2 linked regions of the Notamacropus eugenii genome follow. The protein of the gene in region 1 binds, or shares a complex with, the protein of each later gene. Links are inferred from orthologs where the notes say so. Each region holds a gene or a part of one and is shown on either strand. Other genes may lie near its edges.

Region 1 (7,390 bases):
ATGTGATAAAATGTATAAGATTACAAAGAAAACCAATCTTTCAAACACCAATATTTCTCCAGAGGATAGGGGCAATGTGCCATAGTGGATAGAGTACTGGACTTGTAGTTAGCAAGTCCTCAGTTCAGACCTAGCCTTTGACACTAACTGTGTGATGTGGGAAAAGTCATGAGGCCTCTGTATGTCTCAGACAATTCCCTGAGACTTATCTTCAGTCAGATTGCTTAGGGGTCCAGTAGCATATAGGGTTAGGGGTATGGTAGATAGCTAGGTATCTGGATTTGTGGAGGGTGATTCTTCAAGCAGACAAAACCACAGATCTCTCATGTATTCACATATTCTGGTAATGCTGTACAACTATAAATCATTCAGTATAGTTGTCATAGAATCAAAATTGCAGATCATTCAAAGGGCAATAGAAAGTTATGGTGCGGGTCTGAACAGGCTATTCCTAGCGAAGATCACCTGCATGAAAGAAGTGAAAGAGACTTACGACCAGAAAAGTAGATGGTTCAGTTAGAAAAGCAATGGAAAGTGAGAGAAGACTCCATGTGCTGTGCCGGTACCCTTCTGATGCTACAACATTGCTAAAGTTAAACATCAATTCAAAAGACAAATATCAGAATGGTGACAATCCTACCTGTTTTTTTCTTCTGTGTTTTTGAACTTTCAACTTTTTCTTCAGTTTTTCTGCCTCCGCACCTTCATTTTCAACAAACTCCTTTGTCAAAAAAAAAAAAAAGAAAAGAAAAAAAAGAAAAGAAAAAATTGAAGTGTGATAGGTTTATTTGCTGAAATTTAAAACAATTCAACAATTAAAGATCTGGAGCTGTATTTTTAAATATTAAAAACAAAATCACAGTGAAGATGAAAAGGCTCAGGCCCTCTACTTCATTCTGTTAGCCTTCATTAGGAAATAGGAGACTAGATCCTTTACTGAACACAACTGTCACCCCCATCACCAACACCCCACCATCATCAATGTCACCATCATTCTTGGCACCAGATGACATAATATGAAAGACTCTGAAGTCAGAGAACTGTGATCAGATTCTGCCTCTGTCACTTACTGGCTGTGTAATCTTAGGAGAATCACTTAATTCCTTTGAGTCTCAGTTTCCTCATCTGTAAAATAGCAGAGTTTGACTACATGACCTTTAAGGTCCCTTTGGTTGCTAACATTTTGTAATTCTGCTTGATTTTTTAAATTATTCAGAGGGCTGTATAAAGCCATACTGTATCCTTGTTCTCTCTATCTCTGTCTCTCTCTGTCCCTGTGTCTGTCTCCCTCCCTCCCTCCATATCTGCCATAGATATCCATATAGCTATCTACTATATGTACATGTAAATATATAGATTCATTTATCACTCTATATCAGATCATAGGATCAGAGATCTAGAGCTCAGACTTCATCTACTCCAACCTTTTCCTTTTACAGGTGAGGAAACTGAGTCCCAGGGATGTTAGAACTCTCCCAAGATCCTGTATTGTGAGATCCTTGAGGATAGTAATTGAATTTTGCCTCTTTTTTGTATCCCTAGCATTTAGCACAGTACCTGACATTTAGAAGGCACTTAATGTTTATTGAATGATTATTGAATATACATGCGTGTATACAAATATGTACATATGTAGATACATGTATGTACATACACAGGCATACATTTTTGTGTGTATATACATATGTATGTACGTATGTTAAGCTTAGAATAAGGTTTGATTCAAGCCATTTAACTACAGTGCTAGTGATCTTTCCACTCTACCATGGTGCCTCCTATCACTGGTGGCTTCACAGAAATTTTATTCTAGTAGATGTTTGGCCAATCTCCTCACCACCTGCCTTTGGCTCTACAAGTGTTTATCCAGATTCCACAAAAATTGCTCTGGTCCTTTCATTCAGGACAGATTCTGGGGCAACCAACCTAGCTGGTAGGGAAAATGTGTAGTTTTGGAGAATTAATAAGAAGAACCCACTTTCTAGTTATAAAGCACTAGATCCTTTCACCTCATTTGATCCTTACTACAATTCTATAAGGCAGGTCCTAGAAGCCACTTCAGAGTGAGGCAGGAAAACTTTCTGGGAGTAAATAGGAAAATGGCTTTGATTCTGTTGACAGAAAAGGAGTCATAATGGGAAAGCAACAAACTTGCTAGGGAACACATTTGGCCCATAGAGAGCAGGAAAGAACATTTTGCAGTTGTCTTGAAAGGGACAAGAAGGAGAGGAAGAAAGAGGAGGAGATGAAGGAAAATAAGAAGAGGGGGAAGAAGAAGAGGAGGTGAAGGAGAATCTCCTCTCCAGAACCAAGAACATGACAATTTGAATGGGTCTTAGACTTAAACCCCCATATTTTACATATAAGGGAATAGGTCTAGAGAAGGGAACTGACTTGTCCAAGGTCATGCAGCAAGTACAATTTCTGGCTTCCAGTATTTAAGAAATGAAGAGAAACAAAAGTTTTTAAAGTCCAGGCTGATTTTAAACTCCTTGGGAACAGGGAATGTTTTTTATTGAAAATGACAATAATGTGCTTTAATAGTCTGGATCCTTGTGAAATCTTAAAATGTTTTAGAATTGAGAATTCTTTCCTTGTTTCTCAAATGCTCACCACACCACCTGGGTGTGCTGACGCCAGCTCTAACAGTCGTGAAGTTTGTAAAGTTTTCAGTGAGAGTATAATTTAGAAATCAGTGATCACTAAATCAGGGCTTGATTTCCTGCTTTATTGATTATCTAAACTAACTTAAAAGTAGGCCATTTCCCCCAAAAGTGAATAACCCTGAGTATAGTATACTCTGTAGTAGGTAGATTCAGCAGAAATAGATATTCATTATTAATATGATTTCTTCACTCATACAGAACCCTAACAATGATATAAACATCTACTTACCTCTGAGATTATTTTCACTTTTTCTTCTTTGTGACTCATTTCTGGATCCCTGAGCAGCAAAGTGAAAACAAAGAAATCAGGCATCATGTGTTGTTTGTGTGTTGTTGTTTGGAAGCTGGAACTGAGTATGGCTTAGAATGAATGTGTGTGAAACTTTAGCAAGAATACTATAAAATCAAAGGGCTAGATCATCATCTGTTCCAGTAGAACCCCAGCTAAGCTACAGGTTAGGGTTTATTAAATTTACCTCATTTAAATTGAAAATTAATTCTACAATCTCCCTTGATGTCTAACTCCTCTTCCTTCTCTCCTATTATTCTAATACAGATTCATCTACCTGATCATTACAGTATCATCCCCAAATGTTTTCCTAACATTTTCTTTCTCTCTCCCTTACAATCTATCCTTTCTTATGCACAGATATCTGGTCATGGAATTCTGTTCAAAAACTTTTGTTGACCCCTTTTTGCTCCAGGATGGTGGTACTAGGCTCACTCCCCCAAATCTCACCATAACCTCCTTTCACTTCGCTGTTCTTATGTTTCAACCAAACAGACAATTAGTTGATTACTAAACACAGTATGCTTTCGTTCAATTCCAATAAACAAATATTTATTAAGCATCTACTATGCGCAAGACACTATGTAAGGTGCTAGGGAGACAAAGACCCCTCTTTACCCTCAAGGGCCTTACATTCTACTGCAGTGTGGAAAGAGGGACACAACAGATAAACAAACAAGTAAATCCAAAATAATTTAGGAAGGAGAGAATGCTAAAAAACTAAGGGGATCAGAAAAGACTTCTTGTGGGAGGTAACACCTGCACTGATCCTTGAAGGAATCTAAATATTCTAATTACTGGGAGACCAGTATACGTAGTGACTATAATGATGTAATTGAAAACAAAGGTGGAAGGCAGTTTTGCTGATTGTAATGACCAAGATTGCCTTCAAGGAACTAACATAACTAATCTAACATACTTCTGTCTTCTTGGTAGATGACTAAAGATTCAGAATGTTGCTTACCCTGCCAGATGTGGTTGCTGTGTTGGTTGGTTTTACTAACTTCCCCCCCTCTCCCACCCCCATGTAACAGGGGAGAATTCAATGGGAGAAAGGAGATATCAATGCCAAGAGGCATCAATAAAAGTTAGTAAAAGAAAAAAAGAGAGAAATATGGAAGAGGAAAGGAGTGAGATGAAAGAAAAGTGGTAGGGGGAAACTAGAATATTATAAAGTATAATAGAGAACCTTCCCCAGATGCTTTAGGTGTCACTCACAACCACACCCACACCCACTTAGGCATCATTCACACCCACACCCACTTAGGCATCATTCACACCCACACCATGGATTGTCCATCATTCCTTTAATTCATCTCATCTGTGGAAATCTGTACATAATTCTTCCTTTTCTTCAGAGGAAATTTTATTCTAAAATAATCAATTTTTGATTATACATATGTTCCTAGGGCACTCCTGTCTTTTGTCATGATGTGTTTCCTCTACCTGCTGAGATTCCAATCCTGAAAGATCCTTATTACCAAGCTAGTCTTTCCTTTCCCCCTTCTTGTCCCATGTCCTCCCTTTTCTTTTATATTCACTATACTTTCCATTTTCCCATATATCTAGATGGATATAGGGCTGGGATTCCCTAAGTAATCTGGACACAGAACATTATTTTCCTGATAAGTGTTGATAGAATCTATAAGTATTCCTCAGACTGGAAAAATATCAGGAAAATCTCGAAGGAACCAATGTTCGAAGGAATACTTGAGAACTCTGATAAATGCAATGACCAACCATGATTCCAGAAGACTCATGATGAAGCAAGGTACTCACTTCCTAACAGAGATGATGTACTAAAGATGAAGAATAAGATGCATTTTTGAATACAGCTAATGTGGAAATTTGTTTTGCTGTACTATGTATATTTATTACAAGGATCTTGTTTTTCTCCCCACTCCCACCTCCAATTTGGTGTGGGGGAGAGAACAAGGGGGAAAGTAAAACCATAAAAAAATTTTTTAGGGCAAGATGGGGAAATGAAACCTACTTTAATACTGAAAATTGTCTCACAATTCTTTTTTATACCTGCATAATTTCACATTTAATATTTCAGAGAGGAAATTAAATCTGGTAGTAAATTCTTTTTTCATAGAATCATCATTCATATCTCATTGAAAATCCAGATTTCATGGTATACCCTGGGAAAATGTCAGCTCATTTTTCTCTCCACTCCTTCCAGAGCTATCCTTTTCTCCCTGATCCCTGATGAGTTTCCTCCACCCAAACGGTTTCAAGGGTGCCATAGGCACATAGGAGATAGTAAATACCCACTGTATTGATGAACCAGTAGAAAAAATATTTCTTCCACTTCATATCACTTAATAGCAAGGATTGGCAATAACTCTAAAGAAAAAGCTTAGCACCTAGTTCATATCTGGAATATATAATTTTCTATTAACATCATATGTAATAATTAGGAGAGGCATAGTGGATAAAGAACTGGTCTAGAACAGAGAGTCTCAGATTCAAATCCAGCTGCTGACACAAAGTATGTCCTTGGGCAAATCACAACCTCTCAGTTTCCCAAATAACTCTTATATAAGACTATAAGTTACAGAGAAGATGCATACTTCTTTCTTGGGAGTTGTCACAATGGGAGTTCCATATGTTAATGAAATCACATGACTGGACCCTTCAAAATAATATTTAGATAACATAAACATTTTCAGTACCCCAAAGATCTATAATTTCATCAGGGTGAGTATTTATTTCATCCACAATTTAGGAGATGATCTTCAGGAATTACTATGCCCCATAATTTATCATCCTTCAGCCAACATAGTGATGAGAGTCTTCCAACTTAATTAGCCTGGTGCTCAGACATGAAACATGCATTCTAACCCTGGGGCATATGCAAAACTTCCTAAAACTCAAGTCTGATCTTGTCATTCTCTTGCTTAAGAACCTTCAATGGCTCCCTCTTGTCTCTCAAACAAGGTATAAACACAGGTGTACAGTTGCCATTTAAAGCCTTCACAATCGGACTCTAGCCTATTTTTCCATGTGGCTTACATAGTGCTTCCACCTGTGTGCCCTAACGCATAACCAGATCAACCTACTTGTTTCACTGTTCTTTGCACACTAAGTTCCATCTTCTGTCTGTGAGCTCATGGTTTGGATGCCCTCTCTGCTCACCTCTGCCTCTTGGAATCCAAAGCTCCTTTATGGGCTCAGTTCATGTGCCACTTTTATGGGGCATCTTTCCTGATCTTCTTGATTATGCCTTCTCTCTTCCTCTTCAAATTATCCTTATTATATTGCTTACATGCTGTATCCCTTAGTTAGGAAGATCTATCAAGTTTTGCCTCTGATACACCTTGGCTGTGTAACCCTGTACAATCACTTAACTTCTCAGGGCCCTGGTCAGTTTTCTAAGACTATAAATTGTAGAGTAGGTGCTGATCTGCATTAGTAGAGAGGATTCCTCAGGAAGAATTTCTTGTACCAGTGAAATCACAGGCCTGGACTCTCTTGTCCCTTCCCTCCCAATAGGATGTATTCTCTTTAAGGATATTACTTCTCATTTTGTTGTTGCATCCCTAGTTCTAGCAGTCTGGCACATAGTAGGTGCTTAATTAAATACTTCATAGTTTGGATTAGATATATGATGCCTTGTGCTCTTTTGGGCCAGCCTTTGACAACCCAATGCCACCTCCATTTCAAGAAGAGATATTTGAGGAAAATATTAGTCTAACACAAATACATTTAATAAAATATAATAATTTTGCTAGAACATAGAAGTCATATACTCATATGTAGTATATAATCCACTCATGTAGTAGAGTGGATAAAGAACTGACCTTGAAGCCAAGAAGACCCAAGAAGTCCTAATTTTGGCACATACTGGCCATATGACCCAAGGCTTTAGGACTTTTTAAAGACTTTACAATTACATTGGTAGAGGGAGTTTCCTCACTCAGAAGTTCCCTATGTCAATAAAATGGCTGGTCCAGTCCCTACAGATTTCCCTGTAAACAGTCACTTTATATGTAAATATATGTGATGTACACATCTATATATAGATAAAATAGATATGTGTTTGTTATACATATGTACAAAGAGTTGTATATGCAGTGATTTGCCCCACGATGTTGTCTGATGTATACCTATGTAAAAATACATATGTATTATATGTAACACACATAAATCTGCATAATATGACATATAATACACACATAATTATATATATACTATACACACACATCTTCATAACACCTTTCCTACAGAAGAAAGTCATGTAAAACTGCATCTAACATATTATCTTTGTGTCTTTTCAAAATAACAAGAGTAACCTTTTGGAGGATGGTTACAAGGCCCCTAATCATTGCCAAGAAAAACGATGTTACAAGTGTGTTATCTCATCAAACATCCCTCCCCCTCAAGCGAAGATAAAAAGGCCTGAGGCTACATAATATACTCAAATATTTCCATC
Region 2 (7,575 bases), on another chromosome or scaffold:
GGTCATTTCATGAACAGAACCCTGAGCAGACGGGTGCCTAATACATATCCGTTATTGTTGTTCAGTGATGTCAGTCATCTTGGACTCCTCATGACCCCATTTGGGGTTTTCTCGGCAGATACCTTGGGAAAGATTTCCCTCTCCAGCTCATTTTATAGATAAGATACTGAGACAAACAGGGCTAAGTGACTTGTCCAAGGTCACGGAGTTACTAAGTCTGAAGCCAAATTTGAACTCAGAAAGATGGGTCTTCTTGGTTTCAGGCCTGGCACTGTATTCACTGCGCCACCTGGTGGCTCCTCTAATAAACAGTAGCTGTTAATAAAAGGTCCATTTTTAACTGTGTCACGTTAGGGTATAAAATCTAGCCGGTTTATCTGTTTACAGGTCAGGGGAGGGAGGTGGGGAGGAACATAAGAAGGGGCGAGTGAGAAAAAAAACAGCAGAACTGAAGAAAGCTTCACAGTTCAACTTACAGATGTCGGTACCCAGTCTTGGCCATAAACGAAACAGTACTTGCAGTAGAGGTCGTTGAATTCAGGAAACTTTAAAAAGAAACATAATACAGGTGCTTTATTTCAATCCAACATTTCCCTTCCATGTTCTGTGGGCTGCCAAAAAGGCTGATTATTGAATTAATATGAAATTGAGAGATTTTAGGTCACCTAGCTCAGAGTCAAACATATCTTTACTCTAGACCAGTGTTTCCGAAATGAGGGCTGTTTCTAAAAGGGGTGTTATCAACCAATCAGAGACCCCACCACAGCCAGTCTTGGACTTTTCTCCAATACAATCGCCCAGCCTCTTTCAACACTGCCCTGCTGGGCATCAGCCTCCTGGGCTGTGGGCCACTCGGAGGTTATAACCCGACCCGGGCATAGGAGGCCCTCAGGGCAGATGAGTACCCAACTAGTGTCTAGTCCTAGTCTCCCTCCTGACCCTGATGACCTCAAACATGCCCAAGGCTCACTCCTCTTCTGAGTCCCTACTTCTGCTGGGGACAACACCATCTTTACAATAACCAAGGTCTGCAATCCTGGCACTATCCTTCCATCCCCATCTTCCCTTACACCACAGTCATCAGCTGCTAAATCTTGCAGTTTCTACTTCTCTATCTCACCTATTCCAACTTGATCATCTCTATGGAACAGCCTCTTAAACGGTCTCTTTGCTCAAGTCTCTATTCCCTTTTCCACAAAGACGCCCAAATGATTTTTCTAGAGTAACTCTCAGTAACCTTTCGCAGCTCCTTACTGACTCCAGGATCAAATAGTATTTATTTTTTAATCTGGTTTTCAAATTCCTACCTTTGTGTAGGATTTAAAATGTACATAACTACTGTCACAGTAACACATCTGTATTTTATAAACAGGTAAATAATGTACATGTGAAGGAGGAGCATCCTGACTTAAAATTTTTCCAATAACAGGCAAGTGCAATTTTTAAAGTCTGGGTGCTACAGGCTTAAAAGGGGCAGGTGGCCAGATCTGGTGACACTAGAGGAGTGAAGTGGACAAGAACGATCTTACCTGATGGATGTGGAGAGCCTGGTCATGTCACATGGTTGAGATTAAAAAGGTCAGGGATGGACATGGAGAGAAGGATCCCACTGGAGAGTGGGAGCAGAGGAGAGCTAACCCCAGGGGGCAGGGTCCCCCACATAAGGGTCTGACAGAAGGGGAAGGATTTAGGGCTACAAGAGGGTTAAGATCTCTGGTCCAACCTCATTTTAGACAAGGGAGCAACGGGCAGTAGCGCGGAGGCTGGAGCCGAGGTTCTAGGTGTCCCGTTCCAGATCGGGAGCACCGCACGGGGAAGGGGACAGACAGACTTTCTTTCGTTCCGTTGGGGGCCAGGACTTCCAAGCCCCATTTACAGGTAAGGAAGCTGATCTGCCCCACTACGGAGGGGCCGCGGCCGGGCGGGAGGCTGCGCTCTCTGCCGCCTCCTCCAGGGGGCAGCAAAGGCCCCGACTTCACCCCCAGGGGGTCGTCCGCACGGACCCCCACGGCCGCTCCGGCGCTAGGCCTAAGACCCCAAGGCTCCCGCTTACAGGTCACGGAAGGCGCTGGGTCCTGGACGCGGGAGGGCAGGTCCCGGTCCAGCTGGGGGTGGGCGGGGATGCGGCCCCCGCAGAGAAAGGAGGGGATTCTCGTCCCACTTGGGAGAAAAGGGGGGCGGCGTCTGCGGTGTGCCCGAGTGCCCTCTGGCAGGGGGCGTGTGCGTGCACGTGTGCAAGTACAAATTCGGGTGGGTCCGGGGCCGCGGCGCCTCCCGTGGGCCTGGGGGCGTGGCCACGAGGCCTCGCATTCCGGCTCTGCTCCCCTCCCTCCGGGCCAGCCGGCCAGCCGTCCCCGAGGCCCCGTCCCCGAGGCCGCCTCACCTGGCCGCTCTCCACCTGCCCGTTCACCATTATCAGGAAGACGGTGGGGGTACTGGTAGACATGGCTCTCCGGGGGTCGGGCGCGCGGCCTGCGTTGCTAGGAGTCTCTCGAGCGCCCCCTAGATCCCGACGGCGCGCCGCATGGGACAATCTTCCTCGGAACGGGGCCTTCGCGCCTCGCAGGCTCCCGCGGCGGCCTAATTTACGGAGCGCCTGGCTGGAGCATGCGCAGTTGTTCCTTTGGAGGGGCCTGCGGGAGAAGGGAGGAGAGGACGGGGCGGGGCCCTCGAGCCAGGTGTCCTGGGCCTCTTGGGCAGCAGGGAAGCCTCTTGACCCCTTCTAGTGGTCTACACGTGTGCCCCATTTATATAGACCGCTAGGGGGTGCGGCGGAGAGCACGCTGGCTCTCCACTCGGAAAAACCCGAATTCAAACCGCTCACCCGCGTGACTCCGAGTAACTCAGTAAAAACAATCCCTCTTTGCTTCGTCTCCTCAGCTGTAAAACAGGAAGAATACTAGCGCCCTGTCCGGGGGTTGGCACGGGGATCAGGTAATAGCTAAACGAGTTTTAAAGGGACTGTCACCCTGGCTGTGGGCCTGTCCTGGAACGGGACCAAAGTGACGTCACCATGATAGAGTCACGTGTCCGCGGGTCCCATACCAGGGCGCCCATGTGAACACCTGGGCTCGGTGTCCAGAATTTGCACATCCTGCATTGACTGTCTCCGGTCTGCTTTGCCCAGAGCACAGCACCCTTTCTGAGGTGGGCACGCCATGCTGAGCGGTCCTGTGCCAGGGTCTCCCATGTCCCACAATCCAATCCAGAGTTCTTGAGAGAGACCTTGGGAGGGTCCTTGCATTGCTGCTTCTGCCGTTGTGTGATCTGCTGCCCCATCACTCGTTTTCCATGAAATAGTCTTTGTGGCAAGCGTACAGTTTGTGTTCTGACACCATGGCCCACCCATCAGAACGGTGCTCTCTGAAGCAAAGTTCAAGGATGCCTCCCTTGTTCATCTCTATAAAGGTAAAGGGAATAGATTGTCCTGGGACGATCACAGGAGGGTCTGTCTCTTAGTCATTGCTGGCAAGGTTCTTGCTAGAGTCCTCCTTAATAGTCTGATCCTTCACCTGGAAGATGCTTGTCTACCTGAGAGCCAACGTGACTTCAGAAAGGGCTGAAGAACAGTCGGTATGGTGTTTACTGCCCGACAACTCCAGCAGAAATGCCAAGAGCAGAACAGAGGTTTGTACACAACGTTTGTGGATCTGACCAAGGCCTTTGACACTGTTAGTTATGAGGGTTTATGGAAAATTATGTCAAAATTTGGCTGCCCGGAGAAGTTCATCAGTATCATGTCAGTTTCATGGTGGCGTGTTTGCCCAGGTTCTGGATAATGGAGAATGATCTCGTGCTTTCCCAGTCACCAATGGAGTGAAACAGGGCTGTGTGCTTGCTCCCATGCTTTTTAGCATGATGTTTTCAACCATGTTGTCAAAAGCTTTCAATGAGGATGAACACGGCATCAAGGTCAACTACTGTACTGATGGTAAGTTCTTTGGTTTGAAAAGGCTACAAGTCAAGACGAAAGTGGAGGGAGTGTTGGGGCATCATTTTCTGTTTGCAGATCATTGTGCACTCAATGCAGCCTCTGAAGCTGAGATGCAACAAAGTATGGGTCAATTCTCTGCTATCTGTGCTCATTTTGGCCTAATAATGAACACCAAAAAAATACAGGTGCTCTATTAGCCACCACCATACCATGGAACCGTCAGATACAACAAATGGAGAAGTTTTGAATGCTGTGGATAAGTTCACTTACCGTACACAATGACAATGAGGTTGACACACACATTGCCAGAGCTAGCTCAGTGTTTGGGAGACTGAAAAAAAGTTTGGGAGAAAAGAGGTATTAGACTGACTACCAAACTGAAGGTCTACAGAGCTGTTGTGCTAACCTCATTGTTGTATGCCTGTGAAACATGAACAGTCTACCTACACCATGCCAGGAAACTGAATCGCTTCCATTTGAACTGTCTTAGGAAGATTCTGAGGATCACCTGGCAGGATAAGGTACTAAACATTGAAGTCCTGAACTAAACGGTGTTACCCTAATGCTTAATTTATGTCAAACAAAAGTCAAAGAAATTCTTTGTGTCCCTTAAAATTGGGGGGGGAGGGGAACCTCAAGGAAGAAGACTGCCTGGTTCCAGAGGGAAAAGGAAAGTTGTGGAATCATGAATCTAGAACCATAAGAGACCTGAGAGGCCATTTAATCCAATACTCTCATTTTATTGATGAGGAAACTGAAGCCCAGAAAGGTGACTTGCCTAAAATCACCCAGGTGTTAGGCATCAGAGGCAGAATAGGGAACCCAGCTCCTCTGAGGTGCAGGATCGGTGTCTGTTTTACAGAACAACGGATTATAGATCATCTTAACAAAGTCCAGTATTCATTCAGCAATAACAGATTATCAGAAGGAACCCTGGATGGACAATCTGAAGAAACGGCTTCTAGTCCTGACTCTACCACTGACTTCACTATGTGGCAAGTCGCTTCCCTCTCTGAGCCACAATTCCTTTCCCTGTAACATGAGAGGATAAAACCAGATGATCTCTAAAGTCTCTTACAGGTCTGAGTTCTGGATATGTTTGAGGTATTGGTGCAGCATCAAGGTGGTGTTGTGTTTCTGAGTCGTTTTTCAGTTGTATCCAACTCTTTGTGACCCTATTTGTGGTTTTCTTGGCAAAGATACTGGGATGGTTTGCCATTTCTTTCTCCAGTACATTTTACAGATGAGGAAACTGAAACAAATGGGGTTAAGTGACTTTCCAGGGTCACACAGCTAATAATTGTCTCAGGTTGAGGAAGTTTAGCATTGGTAAAGCAAGTTCAGATGTGAAAGAATCCACTTAGACCTTCTTGTAGCCACTGGGAGCTTTATTTTATGCAAAAAAAAGCAGCATGGGTCTCTTAGCAAGAAAGCTAAGTGAGACTCCCATATTTGGGGGAGTTATGCTTATATAGAGGTTTCAGAATGATTATGTAGTTTTAGAGATTTAGAAGATTAGGGACAGGATGAGGAAGATGGATGACAGGATAGGAGATGCAAGGTAAGGGAGATGGGGAATTTTATGACCCAGGATGGGGGGAAACAAGGAATTTTATGGTCCAGGATAAGAGGGAAGTTTTATGGTTTAAGTACAGGGCAGTAGGATACAGATAAAAAATTAAAGGACCCAGGGAACACAATATAAGGGAGACAAAAGCAATTCTTTTGGTACAGGTTCATGATAAAGGGGAGTAAGGACTTTAGGGTACTGGAAAAGCAACCCTTAATATTTTAACCCTTAGGGCACTGTTTGTATCCTCATCAAGGCCAAATTTGAACTCAGAAAGATGAGTCTTCCTATCTCCTTGATGGAGTCCTAATAGAACTGCTCCCAGCTCCAATAGTCTAACTTCATCACAGGCCCACTGTACCTAGCTAGCCTCCCTACCAATGTCCTACGTTCTTCATATATGCCTCACTGCTCACTAGAACAACAGTCCCTAAAACTCATAAAACTCTCACAGAAACAGCAGGTGTGGGAACCCACCCACTACCTCTACCTAGCCATGATTCCCAGACCCATTCTTGACTCTGCCACTGACTTCACTACGTATGTTCTTGTAGTTAATCACAATTACATCATCCATCTAGCCCAAGACCTGACCACAATACCTAACTATCTGTCTTGACCAGACAGGACCACAACAGCTAACCGATTGGAGGGCAGCATGGTCAGAATGTTTAACCACCAAACCATAGATAGGACCCCTCCCCCATTACCTAATTCCTTAACAAACTCCTCCCACCTTTTTAATATTAATCATATTCCTATAGTCTATGTAAATTTCTGTTATGTGATTGCATCTTTACCCTATAAAAATCCATCTTGTTTTCTCTGAAATTGCTGGTTCCTCTTAGAACTTAGCCCACTTCATGAGAGGCATCAATCTCAATACATGCTTATACTTGGATTAGAGGTGGTCTGACTCTGAATTCTTTGAGACGGTTCCACCACAAGACATCATAAAACCTCAACAGTTTTTGGCGTCCCTGGGTTTAAACTTTAACATCCTAGCAGAGTGCTCTATCCACTGGATCACCTAGCTCCTCAAAATAATATTGAGATGAAGATTTAGAGACATAAATCTAGATACAGATTTCAGAGTCATCCTTACCAAGGTGATAATTAATCCCAAGGGAGTAGATAAAATCACCAAGATCATAGATTTAGGGTTGAAAGAGAAATTACAGCTCGTAGGATCATGGATTTAGAAAAGTTCTAGTTTACCCACCAGATCCATATAACCCACTCTAGTCTCTCTTCTGAACTCTAGTTCTTCATCACCTACTGGATATTTCTAACTGGATGTCACATAGAAATTTCAAACTCCACATATCCAAGATGAAATTCATTATCTTTTTACCCAAACCCTCTCCTTTTACTAACTTTTCTATTTCTTATTGGGGGGAGGGGGAAGCATCCAATCACTCAGGTTTACAATCTCAGAGTCATCTTCACAGGTGTGCACATAGTGTTTGTTGGAGGAGCACTGATATCTCCAAAAAAAGTTGTGTTTTGTTTCTTTTTTAAAGTTTATATTTTAAAGTTAGGGGCAGTTAGGTGCTGCAGTGAACAGAGTGCTGGCCTTGAAGTCAGGAAGACTCATCTCAATAGTTCTGTGACCCTGGGCAAGTCACTTAACCCTGTTCGCCTCAACTTCCTCATCTGTAAAATGAGCTAGAGAAGGAAATGACAAAGCACTCCAGCATTGCCAAGAAAACCCCCAAATGGAGTCATGAAGAGTTGGACATAACTGAAAAAACAACTGAACAACAATTGTAAAGTTGTTGAGTTTTCGTTTCCTTGATGAATAAAAAACGTGAATAAAAACAACAAATTCTCCAAGTGTGTGTGAGAAATGAGCCCAACCACAAGCCCCCAACTATGAGAAACATGCTCACCTCGAACAAACAGTATTTGTTGTGAAATCAGGAAAGCTTTTATTCATCTTCTACATTCATCTCTCTTGAACGAATGGGTGGCTCCCAAGTAAGGATACAGGAAGACCACAATTTGTTCAGACCAATGCAAGTTCTTTATACTGTTGGACTTCTTGCCACACCATCTATTGGCCTTGTGA

What was found.
Region 2: CC2D2A (region 1) and B9D1 share a complex: the UniProt entries of both Homo sapiens proteins name them as parts of the tectonic-like complex. The link is inferred for Notamacropus eugenii from reciprocal best matches to the Homo sapiens genes CC2D2A and B9D1.

What each region holds. Positions count from the first base shown.
Region 1 is NC_092877.1:67,984,875-67,992,264, reverse strand, and holds the start of CC2D2A (coiled-coil and C2 domain-containing protein 2A), read right to left. Parts: upstream 3,063-7,390; 5' UTR 2,980-3,062; coding exon 2,893-2,979; intron 722-2,892; coding exon 641-721; intron 1-640. UniProt on the Homo sapiens protein: Component of the tectonic-like complex, a complex localized at the transition zone of primary cilia and acting as a barrier that prevents diffusion of transmembrane proteins between the cilia and plasma membranes.
Region 2 is NC_092874.1:319,707,756-319,715,330, reverse strand, and holds the start of B9D1 (B9 domain-containing protein 1), read right to left. Parts: upstream 3,005-7,575; 5' UTR 2,447-3,004; coding exon 2,384-2,446; intron 546-2,383; coding exon 477-545; intron 1-476. UniProt on the Homo sapiens protein: Component of the tectonic-like complex, a complex localized at the transition zone of primary cilia and acting as a barrier that prevents diffusion of transmembrane proteins between the cilia and plasma membranes.